Linked DNA regions of Ovis aries. The protein of the gene in region 1 purifies or fractionates together with the protein of each later gene. This does not show direct contact. Links are inferred from orthologs where the notes say so. Each region holds a gene or a part of one and is shown in the gene's direction. Other genes may lie near its edges.

The links.
Region 2: the proteins of LRRK2 (region 1) and TUBB purify together in Homo sapiens (co-immunoprecipitation; 5 studies listed by BioGRID and IntAct, with this or other methods). This does not show direct contact. The link is inferred for Ovis aries from reciprocal best matches to the Homo sapiens genes LRRK2 and TUBB.
Region 3: the proteins of LRRK2 (region 1) and MYO1B purify together in Homo sapiens (affinity purification with mass spectrometry; 3 studies listed by BioGRID and IntAct, with this or other methods). This does not show direct contact. The link is inferred for Ovis aries from reciprocal best matches to the Homo sapiens genes LRRK2 and MYO1B.

What each region holds. Positions count from the first base shown.
Region 1 is NC_056056.1:146,910,891-146,914,542, reverse strand, and holds part of LRRK2 (leucine-rich repeat serine/threonine-protein kinase 2), read left to right. Parts: intron 1-22; coding exon 23-150; intron 151-1,740; coding exon 1,741-1,959; intron 1,960-3,652. UniProt on the Homo sapiens protein: Serine/threonine-protein kinase which phosphorylates a broad range of proteins involved in multiple processes such as neuronal plasticity, innate immunity, autophagy, and vesicle trafficking.
Region 2 is NC_056073.1:27,416,223-27,419,974, reverse strand, and holds the start of TUBB (tubulin beta chain), read left to right. Parts: upstream 1-1,332; 5' UTR 1,333-1,499; coding exon 1,500-1,556; intron 1,557-2,930; coding exon 2,931-3,039; intron 3,040-3,295; coding exon 3,296-3,406; intron 3,407-3,686; coding exon 3,687-3,752. UniProt on the Homo sapiens protein: Tubulin is the major constituent of microtubules, a cylinder consisting of laterally associated linear protofilaments composed of alpha- and beta-tubulin heterodimers.
Region 3 is NC_056055.1:193,674,163-193,677,814, forward strand, and holds part of MYO1B (unconventional myosin-Ib), read left to right. Parts: intron 1-713; coding exon 714-848; intron 849-2,832; coding exon 2,833-2,939; intron 2,940-3,652. UniProt on the Homo sapiens protein: Motor protein that may participate in process critical to neuronal development and function such as cell migration, neurite outgrowth and vesicular transport.

The sequences.
Region 1 (3,652 bases):
AAGTTCTCCAATCTTTATTTAGGTCGTGAGGAATTCTACAGCACTCATCCCCACTTTATGACCCAACGAGCCTTGTATCTTGCGGTCTATGACCTCAGCAAAGGACAAGCAGAAGTTGATGCCATGAAGCCTTGGCTTTTCAATATAAAGGTGATATGATCTAATAATTTGAGAATAGAAAATATTTCATGAGTTTTCTTATTCTATATAAGGTGATTTATTTGGGGCAAATAGTACCATCAAGCAGACTTTTCAAATACTTTTTTGCAAGAAAGTTAGAAGCACTTAAACTTTGAGTTAGGAAATTTTTAGGAGTAATTAAGTTGTGACATGAAAATAGTATGTTCTATGTTAATGAAAGGTATAGAAACTTGAAGCTTTTTTAATCTATTAAAAATGAGAATATATGTTAGGCTATTTTTATATTCTTTTTTATTTTATTTTATTTATTTATTGGCTGCACTGTGTGGCTTGCAAGATCTAAGTTCTCTGACCAGGGATTGTACTTGGACCATGGCAGTGAAAGCCCCAAAATCCTAACCACGAGGGTATCAGGGAGCTCCCTGGTATTATTACTTATGTATAATATGAATTTCCTTAATTTAAAATAAACTGTAGTAAGAAAAAGAAGCAATCTATGCATTACCAACTGTGTCCTCAGAGGCAATTTAGTATAAAGCCCTGTGGGACTTACAGTTTTAAATGGTCCCAGATGAATATTATATATTTGAAATTTTGCAACTTTTCCATTTTGTCTCTTGCTGTTAGATATTCCTTCATGTATATATGGTTTTAAAAATCTGTGCCTTTTTATAATTGATACTAAAGTAAAAATGAATGGTCATTGAATAATGCTCTAGTAGGCTCTTCTGTGAGGCAAATCTGAGCCACCAGGGAAGCCTACTATTAAGAGACATTTCTAAGTATAAAGACAGGCCAACTTAAAAAGTATCAGTGGATACACGCTTGACTTTATCTTATAATCTATAGACAATACATTAGAATATGTAATGAATCCATACACCTTTTCCAAAGGAATACCTAAGACAGAAGTAGCAATAAAGTTATAAATGACAGTCATCAATCAGATGAAATAATTTAGATGAAGTTTTTCTCTCTCAAAGAGATGGGGACTGGGCAAGTGGTCAGGATGGAAATACAATGTGCTTTTAACTTTGCATGAAAGATAATGTTCAGTTCCACTCGCTGAACATAGTTCTGTTTTTGCCAAATAAATCCTCTACTTCAAATTACTGTCCAAATGCTTTATTACTTTAGTGACTTGTTTTTTCTTTGTAGAAGCCACACTGAATTACTATAATATGAATTAATGAGCTTTAATTCACAGATAAGGAAGAGAAAATATAAAACAAATTGTATTACTCTGATATTATTTGGGTGTTATTAAATATTATTTTATCTAGAAGCCCAAAGCACACTTAAAGAATAACCCATTTTAGGCAGAGAGGAAAGAAATGTGTTATTACTGTCACATGGACCACCTGAAAAGTGACAATAACTAGATTAAGAAGGAGCATAAAAATGACTTTTAAAAATTTCTTAAGTTTAATTTGTTCCCTTAGGTTTAAGGAAGGGAAGACAGTTGTCATTTTCTTCTTGAAGTCTTTTGAATTCTCATTTCGATTCTAGTGAATTTCATAGAAAGTGAATATCAGTGGAAATATAAGCAGTCTTGATTTTTAAAACAAACACAAGAGTGTTTTGTGTCTTCCCCCATAGGCCCGTGCTTCTTCTTCTCCTGTGATTCTTGTTGGTACACATTTAGATGTTACTGATGAGAAGCAGCGCAAAGCCTGTATCAGTAAAATTACCAAGGAACTCTTGAACAAACGAGGATTTCCTGCAATACGAGATTACCACTTTGTGAATGCCACTGAGGAATCTGATGCTTTGGCAAAACTTCGGAAAACCATCATCAATGAGAGCCTTAATTTCAAGGTAACATGGTTCATTGCCTACCCTAGGTGGTAGATAAATATAATTTATTAACTGTTACATTCTGCAACTGCTAAGAAATGTCAGCAGTCTTGAGAAAAGAATAACTATCTTAAAAGTATGGGGTTTTCTTAGCTGTTAGCATTATTCAAGTACTTTTAATTTTAAAATTATTTATGTTAGACTTAATTTTGAACTCACAGAATTGGGAATTAGAAATAATTGAGGATCCTGAGAGAAACTAAAAGGATATCTGAGAGGCTGAGAGAATGTTCCTGAGAGAATCTGGGGACATGTTTTTGATGCCCTTTCTCTCCCAACATCCTATAGTAGTGATTCAGTCAAAAGGATAACGATGGATGTTGGGGTCTTGGAGTGATCTTTCTTGTATTTTTCTTTGACTGTTTTTTCTCCATCTGCTCCTTTTGGAGTTTCTGTTTTATGCTCGTCTTGGTCTTTGTTGTTCCTTCATGTCTTTGTCACTGTGATTCCCCCTTTCAAATATTTTTTTTCCTTCAATATTGAGAGAAGGCTCTTCCATCTGGTCACCACGGTCACTAATTTGGTTTTCAACAATGTGTAAGCAATATTCTAGTTCATACAAACTTTATGTCAAGAGTTATGTTTTTGATTTACAAAGTTTTTCTTTCTGGTAAGACAAATAGAGTTCATAGAGTTCATAAAACACAAATAAATTGGTTAACAAATGCTTGTTTTTAATACAAAAGAGAAAGAAATTTTACCTGGGCTCTACAGATAGCAAGGGGTAAACTGTACTGAAAAACACTTTGAATAGTTCCATATGACAAACACAATAGTGGATTTCACCGTTAGTCTCTATTGGTTTAGCTCATTAGTACTAACGATCAAAGCTGTGGCTTCTAACAAGGGTCTTGTTTTGCCTGGACAGTCCCAGTGTAATTATTAATTGTGTCTCACTACATTCTCAGAAGCATTCCAGTTTGGATGATAAATTACACGGTCACCTTGGTTATAACACATTATCCAGTTAGCTTAGTTCTGTTCCATTTCCACAGATTATGCTCTGTCTAAAACTTAATGAGCCATTTATAAGTGTGCCAGTCTTTGTGGTGCTCAGAGAGAGAATTTGCACATTTATATCTTTCCACACATTTATCACAATCAATAAAAGCTTTTACAAATGTGGGTCAATGGAAATTTTATGTTAGAAGAATAAAGTATCATTTATCTCTAGTTTTTGCTACTCTTTTGTGAGACATATGATTAAAGAGTGATATGACTTTTAAGAAACAAATGCACCAAATTAATATATTCAATTAAATATCCTCTTTACCCAGGGAATTTCCTTTTGAGACTATATCTATACTTACAGAACTTTGCTGTTACTTATAATATTTTAATAGCTTCTCTCTTATCATTGATATCAGACCATTTATCATATTTTAAAAAAGAATTCTTAAAGTATGAGTTTGTTTTGAGAAAATCTGGATTTAGTTGAGGAAGTCTATGAAAAGAGTAGTTGATTCATCAAGCTGGACTGGTACTACTTTAGGCTAACAGCAAGTTAGACCAGTTTACTGGTGATAAGACCAGTCTGTTTTCTGCGCTTGTACGTGAACTCTGAAGGCAATACCGGATGAGGAGGTTAAAAACAAATGCTTTGAGAAATGGCATTATTATTTGAAGGAAGGTATATATTGCAAATGCATGCATC
Region 2 (3,752 bases), on another chromosome or scaffold:
TCCCATGTCCTTTAATCATGGTGCTTACCACACTAGTGGTTATACACTTCTCACCAAATTGCAAGATCCTGGAGGACAGTGAGGTAAGGTGAAGGTGAAGTCGCTCAGTCGTGTCCTCTTTGCGACCCCATAGATTGTAGCCTACCAGGCTCCTCCGTCCATGGGATTTTCCAGGCAAGAGTACTGGAGTGGGTTGCCATTTCCTTCTCCAGAGGATCTTCCCAACCCAAGGATCGAACCCGGGTCTCCCACATTGTAGGCAGACGCTTTACCGCCTGAGCCACCAGTGAGCTAATCCTTCATCCTAGCTCCTTTGGTGGACATTTAATATCGCTCAAGTTGAATTAATCCCTGAGAAGAAACATGCCACTCAGATTTGAGCTCATCCATTTTTTTCCCATCACCCTCCCTACTTTTATTTTAATCCCGAGGTTCTTGAAAGATTGCAATGGTCAACCACCTCTCAGTGAAATCAGCGAGTTGAAAAAACACTGACTTCATCAAAGTGCCTATCAGGTATCTCACCCCACAGTTCGCCTCTTGACAAAACTGTGTTAAACGCTGCTCTAAGGCGCAGATTCCCCACATGGACGGAGACTTCCGGCATATCTGCTTCTCTATTCTTGAACATACCTTCCAAACAATTACTTTTTATACTGAAAAGTCCTTGATGCAATTTTGTTTCTTTCTAAATATTATCGTTAGAAAGCTCCCAAGGAAATAGCAGGAAGGCAATGCCCTCCTCCTTCCCGAGATATCTGGGGGAGCCGGAGCTCACTGGAGTTCATGCCAGTTGGGTCACCAGGGACCAGCTGTTAGATAGCAGATCAGGGTGCCGCATTTCTCCCCGTTTTCGCTGAGCTAAGCAGTCCTGTCTTCCCAAGAGCTACCGCAGCGGGGAGCTTTCAGGGCGTGCCCTCACTCCACCTTCCAAAGCCTGGCACACCAGGGTTCCCAATTCCTGTACCCTGCTAAAACTACTCTCTTTTGATACCAGAAGAGTCAGGCATAGAGGAAGGAACCCTAGCGCCAGGCCGTTTTTCAGTCAAAACACCTAAACCAAAACCCCCAGACCCAGTACCCACCCATTCGTCCTTTCATTTTGCAGCGTGGACAACAATAGAGAACTACAACTCCCAGGCAGGACTGCGCTCGTCCAGCAAGGACCAATGGACTTGTGATACAGGACCGGCACGGACTAATCAGGGCCAGCCTAGTGAGGCTTTGTCTCTCCACCGCGGCGCGCGGAGAGTTCTCCCGCCTCCCGGCCCCCGCGCACGCGCGCCCCGCCCTGCCCGCCTTTCCTCCCGCGCCCTCCCCTCTCCTTTCTCCCTCTCAGAACCTTCCTGCCGCCGCGTTCGGACCTCGCTGCTTCAGCCTCCGGGTCCCGTTCCATCTTTTCACCCTGCGACCAGCAGCAGAGAAAAACTAATTCCGTATTATTTTTTTGCCCCGTACATACTTTGAGGCGAGCAAAAAGATTAGAATAAATTTTAACAATGAGGGAAATCGTGCACATCCAGGCCGGTCAGTGTGGCAATCAGATCGGTGCCAAGGTAAGGATTTTTAACCTCTTTTGACTGTATTTATTTTTAAGGAAAAAAAAAACAAATCCAAACAGGTATATTATGACGGATGGTTGTAGAACGTTTGCATCTTCCATTCTTAGTCCAGATTTGCCCCTCAAAACTTTTATATATAAATGCACCTTTGAACCTTAGGATTTGCTTTTGAAAAATGAGGAATTATTTTTCTTGGCAGGCTTATTTTGGGGAAGCTGTTAAAAGCACCCTTCAGGGTTAGGGGGCGGGAAAACCGAGTTTCTGTAAAATTTTACTTAGAAAGGGGATCTCCTAACGGTCCGAGGACCGGGGAGCGAGGGAGATGCGGAAACGGCCCGAGACAAAAGCTGGATGAGGTTTTCCCCATGTGCATCCCCCTTGGCGGGGCTTCGTGGGGCTAACCCAGAGGGGGGAAGGGGCGAGGATGGCGGGCAGCTGCCGAGAGGTCAGATCCAAATGTAGGGGCGCGCTGAGCCAGGTGGGCTGGGCGATATCCTTTACAAATGATCAGGAATCTCCGGGCGCTCGCGATCCCCAAGGGGCGGTCCCGCAGTTTTTCGTGCATGGAAGGCTAATATGTGCTAGACTAATTTGTTCCTTTTATTTCCCCTTAACAGACTCTTAAGGGCGTGGACAGATAGGGAGAAAGGGCGAGGAAGGAAAGGGAGTCCATTCTTTGAAGGGGTTCCTCAGAGCTAGAGAATAGGACAAAGGAAGAAAAACCTCATTTAAAGCAAGGGGGTTAAAAGCTAGCAAAGAAATGAAATTTCGAGGCCAAGGGGGAGGGTTTTTTTTTTTTTTGCGCGCGGTTACAGTGTAGCGGGGGAGGGGCAGGGAGGAAGTGCGGCTGCTACGTTGTAGCAGAAGGGCGGGACCCGGGCGCCCCTGGCGCGCTGGGACAATGCGGCCAGGCTGGCCGGCGGGGGGCGCGCGAGCCCGAGCCAAGCCCCGCCCCTGGCGCGCGGAATTCGCCCTTCGGCCCCGCCCTCGCGCGGCACCTCCCTTTGTCGGCCGCCTGGCGCGTGCGTGCGCCGCGGTCACGTGCAGGGCGGGGTGGGCTGCTGCAGTGCCTCCTTTTCTTTGCACCCCTCCCCGCCCCGTCTCTTTGTGCCCAGGGTGACTACCTCCATCTACCCACCCCGCGCAATCCCCGGACCCTTTAAGCCACACAGCATCTCACGTCCCAGGCAGTGAAAGCTGCCTTTTCCCCGAAGGTGCATGTGGCTAGGGGAAGGGTGTGGCAGGCAGAAGAAATGCTAGATCTTTGGGGAGGGCCCGCCACAGGCGAATCTGGAGCTAAAATGGCAGTAGGGGAGCATAATTGGCTGCACCCTGAGATGCTGAAGACTCTTTGCTCTTCCCTGGCAGTTCTGGGAGGTAATCAGTGATGAACATGGCATCGACCCCACCGGCACCTATCATGGGGACAGCGACCTACAACTGGACCGCATCTCCGTGTACTACAATGAAGCCACAGGTGAGGGCAAGAGCCCGGGAAGCAGGGGTCCCATCTCTCCCACTTCTTTGGGGTCTCTGCCTCCCCGGGACACCTTTTACCCCCTTTGAATGAATCTATCTACACTCACTGGAGACCTTTCTCGCTTTTCCCAGTGTCTCTGCTGCCACCTGGTGGCAGTGTCTGAAATCACACATATGGGTCCCCGGCTCTCTTGGCCCCAATTTATTTATCTCTATGTCTTCCAGTTTTCACTCTTCTACTTTATTTCTTCTAGGTGGCAAATATGTCCCTCGTGCTATCTTGGTGGATCTAGAACCCGGAACCATGGACTCTGTTCGCTCAGGTCCTTTTGGTCAGATCTTCAGACCAGACAACTTTGTTTTTGGTGAGTTAGGGAAATATCAATAGATAGTGCTAATCGAGTTATTTGGGTGCAGTGAGAGTTAGAAATGATTGTACTTGAGTTTATACAGACTTGTGTTTTTAAATCTAATGGAGAGTGGTGGTAGTAATTTAGATAGCAAATTATATAGGGGCAGATGTATCATCGGGGAGTAAGAAGGAAGATAAATCCACTGGCCTTAATCCAAAAGTTGAAAGGTAGAAATGGGGTTGTGTATCTTTCAAACTTGACTGAACAAGTTTGCCTTTTAACCCCATCACAGGTCAGTCCGGGGCAGGCAACAACTGGGCCAAGGGCCACTATACAGAGGGAGCCGAGCTGGTTGACT
Region 3 (3,652 bases), on another chromosome or scaffold:
ATTTGAGGGGAATGCCAAGATCTTGCCCTGCTAAACTGCCATGGACCACTGCCGAGCAAGGCTGGCAAACAGACTAGTGGGTGGAGGGGTGTGGGAGAGCGAGGCTGTGCTCCTCTCCCAGGATGGATTCAAAAGTTCTCCGTTTTTCTGAGAATAGGTGTAGTGCTGAAGAGTGTGAACTCTGAAGCCGGCTTGCTCCACCACTCACAGATTTGAAAGCCTGATTTTGTCATCTGTAAAGTGGGGATAGTAATAGCACTTAACTCGTAGAGTTAGGGTAAGGGTTCCGATGAAGTCACACTGTAAAGCCCCCACAGTGCCTGACCCATGGCAAGTGCTCGAGAGCAGTGTTGTCCAGTAGAGCTTTATGTAGTGGCAAAAACGTCCTGTATCTTTGTGGTTCAGTAGAGTAGTCATGAGCCATGTGTGGCTGCCTGTTAGACATTGCAGCTCTTCGTATTGGTGATAATAATAAAATTAGTATTCACGTTGGTTATTTTTCTTTTTCCTTAACCATTTGGTGGAGCTCAGATTTCTCCAGCCAGTGAGAATAGTAGAGTAGAGACTTTTCGGAGGAGTTACAAAGTTTTATGGACCAGAACTTGCTAAATTCCACTAAAGACTGGTTTCTTTGAGTCCGGTTTGTATTAGACAGTGTTTTCTTTTTCTGGTGTGTTTGACTCACCTGATATTTTCTGTCAAACCCAACACAGGTGCAAAAATACTTCTTGGAAATGAAAAATAAGGTGCCTTCCTTATCTCCGATAGATAAGAATTGGCCATCGAGACCCTACATGTTCTTGGATTCTACTCACAAGGAGCTAAAAAGGATTTTCCACTTGTGGAGGGTAAAAATCATCTTTTTATGTTTTTTCGAAGACGTCTTGCCATCTATTTTGAGTGTTTGCAAAGGGTAACATAAAAGCAGGATTTTGAAGTTAGAAGCATGCTTGGCTATCTGTGAGAATTCGCAGCACCCTCGTTGCTCCTGTGATGTCTCCAGGACTGCATTGTCTTTTCTGTCCAGATTCTAGTTGCTTTCAAGTAGTTCGATTTCTTGTCTTCATGTTTATCTGAAGAAATACTACTGGAGGTAGAAATAATAAAGTTTGAACATCTCCATGTGAATAGTAGAGTCTCACAAATTATATGAGTTTACTTTCTACATAGATCTACATAGACATATATGAGAACATACACATTCTGATGGACTGGGGAGAAAAGCTCTAAAGTCACCCAAAGGACATATAATTTCCCTCTCTCTGAATGAAAGGGAAGCTGAAAATCTATTTGATTTGGCCTTATATTTTAGCTCACTTAATTTTACATGAGCACGTAACATGTAATTTAGGTCGTGCTCAGCGTGGACTACGTGGGGTACTTGTATAGAGGTTGACTTTATTTCAGTAACTTAGTTGGTACATGGAATGGTACAATTATTTGTCATTTGGATAGAATGAAGTCTTAGGTTGAAGCGCTTGTATTTAGTGAGTGAGCAAATGATGGATACATCTTCCAGGAAACTTTCCTGCTCAGTGCTGGGACTTGTTCTTAGCTGAATCATATGTATATACAGAGAGACATTATCACTAATCACTGTAATGATTGTTCCCAGCACAGCCTGTGGAATGGAATACTAAGTCCTGTTCTCCTACTTAGTGAGTCAGTTTGGCAAGATTTGCCATTATCTCAACGTTCACTTCCCCCTTTGAGTCTGATACAGAAACTATTTCAGAAATAATGATGGGAGGTTGTGAATACTAGGCATCTGCTCCGCCTCCCCTTCCCCCTGGCTCCTGAATTTTGCCCTTACCTCCCTTGGTTTGGGGCGTGGAGAGAAGAGAAGGATGCATTTATTCCAAGGGTGGGCAGTAATGCTGATGATCTGATCATGTGGGTGATTCTCACCCATCCGTGAACTGGATTTCCTAGAAAGTTCATCTAAAGAAACTGGTCCTGCTCCTCATGCCATCCCCTGTCTCCTTTCAGTACAATCTCAGAGTCAGTGTGAAGGGGAGATTTCTCAGGTCCTATTTCCACATTCCAGCTTCCCTGGTGGCTCAGTGGTAAAGAATCTACCTGTCAATGCAGGAGACTCAGGTTCAATCCCTGCGTTGGGAAGATCCCCTGGAGAAGAAAATGGCAGCCCACTCCAGTATCCTTGCCTGGGAAATTCCATGGACAGAAAAGTGTGCCAGGTTATAGTCCATGGGGTCACAAAAGAGTCTGACATGACTGAGCGACAGACAACAAGAAACAGCAATGTCCATGTCATGAAATGGTAATGGAGGGTTTGGAGCATTGCTTTTCAAACTATAGATCGTAACATATTTGTGAGTCATGAAATCAATTTAGTAGTATTACTACCAGCATTTTGAAATGAAAATAACAGGATATATGACATGTAGACAGGATAAGCACTGTTTTTTGAAGCTTTTGTATCAATTGTATATATGTGTGTGTATAAATATGCATGCTGGGCTGTGATGGACCATGTTTTTCTTCCTGTGAGTCTCCGAAAAAGTGTGGATGTCCAAGGGCTGACGTAGTGGGAGGAAACGGTACTCTCAGGAGGGCTCAGGCCAGAGAAGTTCTTGTATGTTTTGAAGAAGCATCACAAGTTCTGCAACACAAATAGTTTTTATGATATTTTCCAAGACCAGCCTTTTAAAACTCAAGAAGGAAAAATTCTCTTGACCTTTTAATGAATATCTCATACACGTTTACTCTTATTTTTAACTGCTGTTAAATTGGTTTAGCATATTTAAGGATGAGTAATGATTTACTTATATAAGTGATGTCTTTTTTTCTTCTTCTTTTCATATCTCACAGTGTAAAAAATACAGGGACCAATTCACAGACCAACAGAAACTTATCTATGAAGAGAAGCTAGAAGCCAGTGAACTCTTCAAAGACAAGAAGGCTTTATATCCATCTAGGTATTATGGTTTGACTTTACCTGTAAAAATCAATATTTTAAAAAAGTTTCTCAAATGTATTGTAGGCATTTCCTAGTGGGATTTGATTTTAGTGACACACCGACTTTTAATTTCATGAAGTATTTTGAGATTGGCTGGATATGTTGTTCAGTGGCTCAGTTGTGTCTGACTCTTTGTGACCCCATGGACTGCAGCACATCAGGCTTCCCAGTCCTTCACCATCTCCCAGAGCTTGCTCAAACTCAAGTCCATTGAGTTGGGGATGCCATCCAACCGTCTCATCCTCTGTCATCCCCTTCTCCTTCCACCTGCAATCTTTCCTGGCATCAGGGTCTTTTCCAATGAGTCAGCTCATCGCACCAGGTGGCCAAAGTATTGGAGCTTCAGATTTAGCATCAGTTCTTCCAGTGAATATTCAGGGTTGATTTCTTTTAAGATTGACTCGTTTAATTTCCTTGCAGTCCAAGATACTCTGAAAAGTCTGAATATGAATGTAACACATTTGAGCAAGAGCTTTCATACTTAGCATACTTAGAGAAACAAGATCACATGTGATGGTTTTACTCCCTTAGCATTATCCTGAACACTTCCTAAATAATTAGAAGTTGTCATTTAAAATAAAAATTGTCTAGGCTAATAAGAGATTTACTCAGTAAATTCCTATTCGTTTTCCATTGGTTTCAGAGACTAGCTGGTTTCTGTTGACAATCTCC